Xenopus tropicalis: one gene and its partner. The protein of the gene in region 1 purifies or fractionates together with the protein of each later gene. This does not show direct contact. Links are inferred from orthologs where the notes say so. Each region holds a gene or a part of one and is shown on either strand. Other genes may lie near its edges. The genes, in order: eif4e and eif3b.

What was found.
Region 2: the proteins of eif4e (region 1) and eif3b purify together in Homo sapiens (affinity purification with western blotting; 5 studies listed by BioGRID and IntAct, with this or other methods). This does not show direct contact. The link is inferred for Xenopus tropicalis from reciprocal best matches to the Homo sapiens genes EIF4E and EIF3B.

What each region holds. Positions count from the first base shown.
Region 1 is NC_030677.2:74,898,633-74,902,461, forward strand, and holds part of eif4e (eukaryotic translation initiation factor 4E), read left to right. Parts: intron 1-2,225; coding exon 2,226-2,323; intron 2,324-3,360; coding exon 3,361-3,456; intron 3,457-3,829. UniProt on the Homo sapiens protein: Acts in the cytoplasm to initiate and regulate protein synthesis and is required in the nucleus for export of a subset of mRNAs from the nucleus to the cytoplasm which promotes processes such as RNA capping, processing and splicing.
Region 2 is NC_030685.2:31,110,509-31,114,337, forward strand, and holds part of eif3b (eukaryotic translation initiation factor 3 subunit B), read left to right. Parts: intron 1-1,330; coding exon 1,331-1,523; intron 1,524-3,226; coding exon 3,227-3,346; intron 3,347-3,450; coding exon 3,451-3,508; intron 3,509-3,829.

The DNA of each region.
Region 1 (3,829 bases):
TGTGTGTAAAAATATATATGCAATTTTTGTATCTCTTTAAAAAGAGCTAAATAGGCATAACACAACCTTCCAATTTTCTGCATGGATGTTGGTGAAAAGGTTTTTCTGTCAGGCTTTTCAGCAACTTTATTGTGGGTAGAAGTTTCTGGGTGGATGCTCAGTCTGCAAGTTGCAGTTCTGAAAACAAATGTGTCCAGTTTTCCTATAGTCAGCTCAGTGCTTCCTGACGTAGACATTCTGTGCTCTGAGACAACATAATCGTTGATCTTGTATTTTTTTGTGTTGCATGTAATACTGACACATTTTTACAAGTCATCAGTATGTCATCTTTAGGACCTTATTTCCCAGGGATGATAGGGTGTCTTCACTCCTAAATTAGTCAAGCCTAAAAGTTGGTGTGGCTGTCCCTTTGAGAATCATCTGTTTTGGAGGGCAAAATAGTGTATTCTGCAGGAAATGAGGTCCAGGGGATGACATACCAGAGACTTTTAAAAATGTGTTCGCAAAATGAGAAAAAATTGATTTATGTAGTTCTAGCATCTGATGCATAGCTAATTATTTAGTACTATATATCAGTGTAACGTTTTTAGAGTTGTCAAAAATCTGCTCCTTTAGTTTGATCAAGTGAATTATTTCTTTTAATTCTAATCTTAAAACAGCTATTCGCTTATGATCTTAGCAGATCTTCATCTCCGAGTATTCTCTGTACAGTGAAGTACATGGGCCGGAGTACAGTTTGATAGTTTCTTCCAGGAAGATTTTCTCCATATTCAAGTTTGTTGGATGGAATATTAGTGCACCTTAGTTTTAAAATAGTGTCACGGATTCTCAGATGGATAGATAGCAAGGGTCCATGCCTGTGCAGGACATTCACTTTTTTTGTGCTTCTCCAGTGTAATTTTGGCCACCTTGTGTTTAAGATAATTGCTCTGTGAAAATCTGGAGTTCTTTTGCAGTAGTTTTTCCCTATTTTGCACCATCCATTCTTCCTTGTATTTTAAGTAGTTTCCCAGACCTTTTTTGATAAAAAGCTGAGAACTGAAAAAATACATTAAGTGAAAGAAAAAATGTTGAAGTAACCTGAGACCTAGAAGATTGAAAAGTAAATCTGATCTAGAAATGTGTGGTTACCACTCTTGGTGGTGTGCAAGTCTGTGTTTTTAAATTAGAGATTGTAAACCACCCTGAAGCTGGTGATATACGTTGAGATTTTTCTCTCCCTAGCGACTAATTTCACTGCAATTCAACAAATCGGCCAAATTATTCTAAAGTTAGTAGACACCGAACGATTGTGGATATAGCAGTTTTTCTTCCAACATTGGTCAGAAAATTGATTGGGCAGGTTTGAAAATTTTCGTTGTTAACAATGAAATTTGACCATTGTCCAATTATTTGTAGGACCAAACAGGTCATTTTTCTAGTTTCAACTAGATGATATTGCTTATAATGGTCCTTTTCGTTGATGAGCAGATGTTACTTTTAAATGATTGTTTCAGGATAAGCTTGGTCTTACGAAAATGAAGAGATCTTTTAAAAATCTTAATGTGTATGGCCAACTTATGGGTAAGGTCACACAAGTGTATTATCAGCCTGCGGATAAGCAAAGGCTGACGATACACCTTACGCTTAAAAAAAACTTTTTGTGCCTGCTCCGAGAAGCATTGAATCCACCTGGGTGCAGGCACACACGGCCAATATCCGCCAACTAACGCCAGACTTGGAATTGCCCAATATTTGCTGCCTGTGCCTGCACCCGGGGTGGAATCAATGCTTCCAGACGCAGGCACAACAAGATTTTTTTTTTAAGCATGGGGCATATTGTCAGCCTTCGCTGGGCAGAGCTACACAACTTTTTAAATGGCGCTAAAAAGATGAGGCAAATAAATCTTGTTTTACCACCATCTTAGTTCTCATAGATAACCACAGAAATGACATCCCATTGTCAATACATTATGAAGTACTATTAATAAATATCAAATATACAATTAAGACTGTTAGATTTAAACAAGCCTTGTGGTCCAAGGCATATTTCTAAAAATCGAGCATCACGCTCCCAACACCAAATCGAAAATTTAACATTCATATTGTACTACTCAAAGTTCCAGAATATGGGATACACAACTTCACGTTCTGTATTGAACAATATTTTTGACTTTTTTTTTTTTTGTTTTGTTTTTGCAAACCGGAACTAACTGGATTTAAATGTTTCCCTGTTTTTTTGTTAGGAGGGTACCAATCCCCAATCTACGGAAGAGGAAAAAACAGAGACTAGTCAGGAGATTGTAAGCCCCGATCAGTACATTAAGCATCCACTACAGAACAGGTAAAAAAATCCATATTGCAAATGTGCTATGCATGAATAATGCCATTTTAAAGACAGTTTATATACTATAATTACATTTTAGGTTAACTAATAACCTCTGTAGATTGAGTAGAACTGAGTCAGACTAATTTCTTTTTTTGAGTGGTAAATTACAATGTATACATTGCAGTGTTAATGCGGTGCACATGTCTCTAACCTGGCCTGTTAAAATATGGCTTACTTGAGGTTTTATAATCAAAATTCATATGTCCCAAGAGTAAAACAATGCCGTGCCCTGCTAGTATAGACTAGTTGCTGAACATCTGTTAAGCCAAAATGTTCTCTACTTAAAAGAAACTAGAATGTAGTAAGTAAGACCAGAATGGTTTATGTATCTGCACCTGCTTTGCTCTGACTGATGCCACCTTCCATTGAGCTGTGTTGAAATTCTCTGAGAAACCAGCTGCTTCAAGTACCAGCATGTTTATATGGCTGTAGAAGGGCAGGCTGAGAGATGTATTTTTTTCTTTTATATGATAAGACTCCTTGGAGATTTCACAATGCAGTCTGTTCTTTTTGGTAGGGTGCAGTCTGTAAATAATTATAATTTATATGACATTTAAACAGCAAATTGTACCATAACCTAAAGGAAAGTCAGATATGGAATATTGGTATTGTATGCATACAGAAATATTAAGCATGCTTGTTCAATACAGCGGACTGCATGTAATTAACATGGTTTTTTTTTAAAGTGAATATCAAATCATGGTCTCTTTAAAGCCATGGTACCTGAAGTAACAAACTATATAACTGCCGTCTCCATTGCATTCATATTAAACTTGCAGCACTGTGTGCTATTGTGGGAATATGTGCATATAAATGTGGTCAGCCAGTCGGTATCTGAAAAATGCTATTTTTGGACTTGTAGCAGCTGGATTATGGGGACCTCCTTCCTTGAGACTAAATACAAAAATGATTGGAGGGCTTTAAAAATTCATTAAACAATGTGTCTATGTATGTGTAGAGATATTAACAATTAACTTTTTGGAAATTTTTAGATGGGCCCTTTGGTTCTTCAAAAATGACAAAAGCAAAACTTGGCAGGCTAACCTTCGCCTAATTTCAAAATTTGATACAGTTGAAGATTTTTGGGCGTAAGTATTTTTTTTTGAGCATAAGCATAATAAATAAGATGTGCTTTGAATATTTTACCTATTTTAATGTAAAATTGCTTTTTATTTATTTTATGTATTTATTTTATAATAAGCAAAAAAATATTGTTTTCCTTCTTTCACCCACAACCCCCCAATTTCAGGAGAAAAAACAAGCTCTTTATCCTCTCCCTTCTACCTGCTGCCAGCGTCTTAGGTTTACAGATCACACGGTTGCTAAGAACAACCTTGGATTTTCAAAGTATAGGTTCTTTCATTTTTACTCTTTGGATGTGATTGTAATCACTTAACCTGATACCCCTGACCAGTGCTTCTGTTAACAGGAAACTGTCCCGGCTCAGGGTACATGTGAGCA
Region 2 (3,829 bases), on another chromosome or scaffold:
AAGTGTCCCATTTTAATGCATGTGAGAACATTCAACAATGTATTAAATTAAGATTAGGATACATTGTCCAGTATCCAACAAAATTGACTTGTGGGCACAAAATAGATATCTGATAAATGGCTATCCCCTTGCATGGCCACCCTCTGTTCCATTTTTTTGGACCAATGACCTAGGTGATTGGAACTGTATAAGTAAAGGGGAATTGCATATTCTCTTTAATTCCATACCAACTGATGCATTATGTATTTGCTGATGTTCAAACCTGTCTGAAATCTGCTGTCTGATGAGATTGTAAATGTATGGCAGGTAAGGGGCTATCATGAATGAATATCCTGCAACCTGTTGAGCAGTGTGGTCAAAATGGACTACTGTGGATATGTATTTATATAATATATACTACATCTTCATGTTTTTTTAACTTGTCAGAATGTAACCTATTGTTTAGAAACTCTCCCAGTCTGCACAAGTAGAACCTGATGACAAGATAATGGAAGCAGGTGATTGTAGTCTTTCCAGTTAACACCTCCAAAGTTTTAATAAAGCTTAGGCACTATCTTAGATATTTTGCATTATGACATTAATTGCATGTCTTGTTTAAATCCAGTAAACTAAAGAACACTATGATGCTCTTGTTTTGGGTAATATCAGATGGGCTGTCTGTCTAAATGTCTCCTAAAGGTGGCCATACACGCACCGATATTATCGTACGAAACCTCGTTTCGTACGATAATCGGTGCGTGTATGGTATGTCAGCGAGCCGACCGATGTCGCAGGAAGCTGCTGAAATCGGTCGGCTCGTCGATCGGCCAGGTTAGAAAATTTTGATCGGGCGCCATAGAAGGCGCCTGACCAAAATTCTCCCTTCAGAGCTGAATCGGCAGAAGGAGGTAGAAATCCTATTGTTTCTACCTCCTTACCTGCCGATTCAGCCCTGAATGGTGTGTGGCGGATCTGACGATGTTTCGTGCGACCGATGGTCGTACGAAACATCGTCGGATCGCCACGTGTATGGCCAGCTTTAGCATGGGAACCTTATGTAAACTTTTTTGTGTTGGCAACAACTGTTCACATTATTGACTGTGCTACCTGCGGTCTGTATTGGTGTTGTAATGATAGTACCTCCCTAAGCAGCTGACTTTAAAACTGGATTTTGTCATGGATTATGTCAGAGGTTGACTATTTTCCACCAAATAAAATTTCAGTGTATGCTTTCAATTTTCTTTCAAATAGTTATATGTGGAAATCAAATTAAAACATTGAAGCAGAAGACAATATTAAGCTTTTTCAGTTTTAATATGTCTTTTTTTTTTTTTTTTTTTTTTTCCCCCAGAGTTGCTTGGTGATATCCTGAAAGACCGTCCTCAAGAGGCAGATGGAATTGACTCTGTAGTTGTGGTAGATAATGTGCCACAGGTTGGACCTGACCGCTTGGAAAAACTCAAAAATGTCATCAATAAAATTTTCTCCAAATTTGGTAAAATTACCAATGAATATTATCCAGAAGCAGAAGGCACCACCAGGGGGTATGTAGACACAACTGAACAGATAAAATAAGGAAAACGGCACAGTGGGCAATTATCTGTGTATTGCGATCTAACTTGAGCGGTGGCCACAAAACTCTGTGTATTGCCCATTATTTGTCCTCAGTGGAAATTGCCTTGACTATACCAATGAATTCATAGGTCAGGGTCTGTAGCTCACTACTGCATTTGTGAGTGTTAATTGTCTGACTATAGGTCATTGAGGACCAGTTATGAGTGTTAACATGTGCTTAACATGCTTGCGCCAAGCAAAAAAATAAACTACCAAAATTGTTGTTAATGTAACACACAACATGCTAATATTATGCCCGTGGCACACATGGCCTATTCTCCACCAGCTGAAAAAAATGCTGTGGCAATAAACCTTAAAGTTTCATTCAGTAACTGCTTGACTGTAGTTAGATTGTATGAAGGAGCGAAAAGTACCGTATATACTCGAGTATAAGCAGAGTTTTTCAGCACTAAAAACATGCTCCAAAAGTAACCCTCGGCTTATTCTCGAGTATATAGTAAGTTTGCATTTGTCCCAAGTCATTGCCAAAGGGATGCGCCGTAGGACAAGGAAGCACCATATAAAAGAGACATTACCTACACTAAAGAGGGGTCTAAACAAGACTTTCCTCTGCCCCAAACAAGGTAAGCGCTGTACCTCCCAGCTACTTATGCTTTGCAGCAGCTCTTCAGGGAGACGCCATCTCTCTATGCAGCCAGTTCCCAGGCTTCCCCCCCCAGCCTAAGCCTGCTGAAGCTTCTTACACTTACCCTGGAGCCCCTCACCATGTATAAGTGACAAACCTAGGAACAATGTACAGTATCCCCCATTGACTACTTTCCCAACCTGTGCCTTACAGCAGTTTGGCCTAATTGAGTAGCCTACTGCCTCCACAATTGATTGTGGGTCAAAATGGGGCCTTATTATTACATATAACCAAGTTTATCTTGCTTGAGTCTGATAAAAAATAAAATATATCTTGCAATCCACTGTCCACATCACTTTTGTTTTCATGTGTGAGACCTGGGGTGGCGCACGGGGGGGGGGGGAAGCGGCGTGCCAATATGTATGTAAAATTAAATGAGATATTAACCTGTACAACCTTGCATATGGTTATCTTATGTTGGATGCGCCTCATTTTCCAGCCCATACCTTGTGTTTATTAATGGTAGTCATGCACTTGTGAGTGTCCTTTTATTAAATAATTTGATTATTGAAACTTGGCAGTAGCGACGGCATTTCTTACCCTAGGCTTATACTTGAGTCAATAAGTTTTTCCAGTTTTCTTAGGTAAAATTAGGTACCTCGGCTTATACTCGAGTATATACAGATGTCTGCTTGGCACTCACTGAAACTGCTTGCAAACCTCACCGTTGGCAGGCAGCACAGTTCAAGAAACAGTTGCAAAGTATCTGCACAGATGCTATATTGTAGTTACAGTCTTAAATACCCATGCCAATGTATACATACCTATACCATAATAGACAAGAAAGCCTACCAGCCTTTTGCTTCTCCCAGAGTATGTGAAACACTGATGGCTTGACATTTCTGTTACACTGTTAGCAGGATCTTAAACAGTTTAATTTCATTTATGGGCTAAAGAGTATTATAAAGCTGAATGTTATTGTGCTCAAGTTTTGTTTTAAGTTTGGTTGATTACCAACTAAATATATTTTTAACATTTTGTTTTTAGATACATTTTTCTGGAGTATGCTTTGCCAACTCAGGCACAAGATGCAGTAAAGAACGCAGATTGCTACAAACTGGACAAGCAACACACATTCCGCGTGAATCTCTTCACCGACTTTGACAAGTGCGTCTTTATGTTTTGCATTCTCTTTGCAGTTTGTTTGGTTTTTTTTGTTTTTTGTTTTTTTTCAACTTTACATACATGATCATTTCCACTCTGTTTCACAGGTACATGGTTATTGGAGATGAGTGGGAAGCACCTGAAAAACAACCATTTAAAGATTTTGTAAGTGCAACTTCAGTTTGTATTCTCATATTCAACAACTTGGAAATGTGAAAGAATTTCTTACATTTGTAGTGTCCACTATTAATGATAATTTAGCAAATTTTGCATTTTGAAATTAACTCTTTAATGAAAATCTATTGCTGTTGTGCAGTCTGTAGTTTTAGACTTAAAGCAAGTTTCAGTGTGGCCAAAATATTGGCTAATATTCAGATTGGGTCAGCCTTCCAGTCTGACAGGGATATCTAAAGGTTAAACCTTTTTCATTTTTAAATTCCAGTCTTCCCACTTAATACAGTGCTGTAAAGGATAAAGTCTTCCATA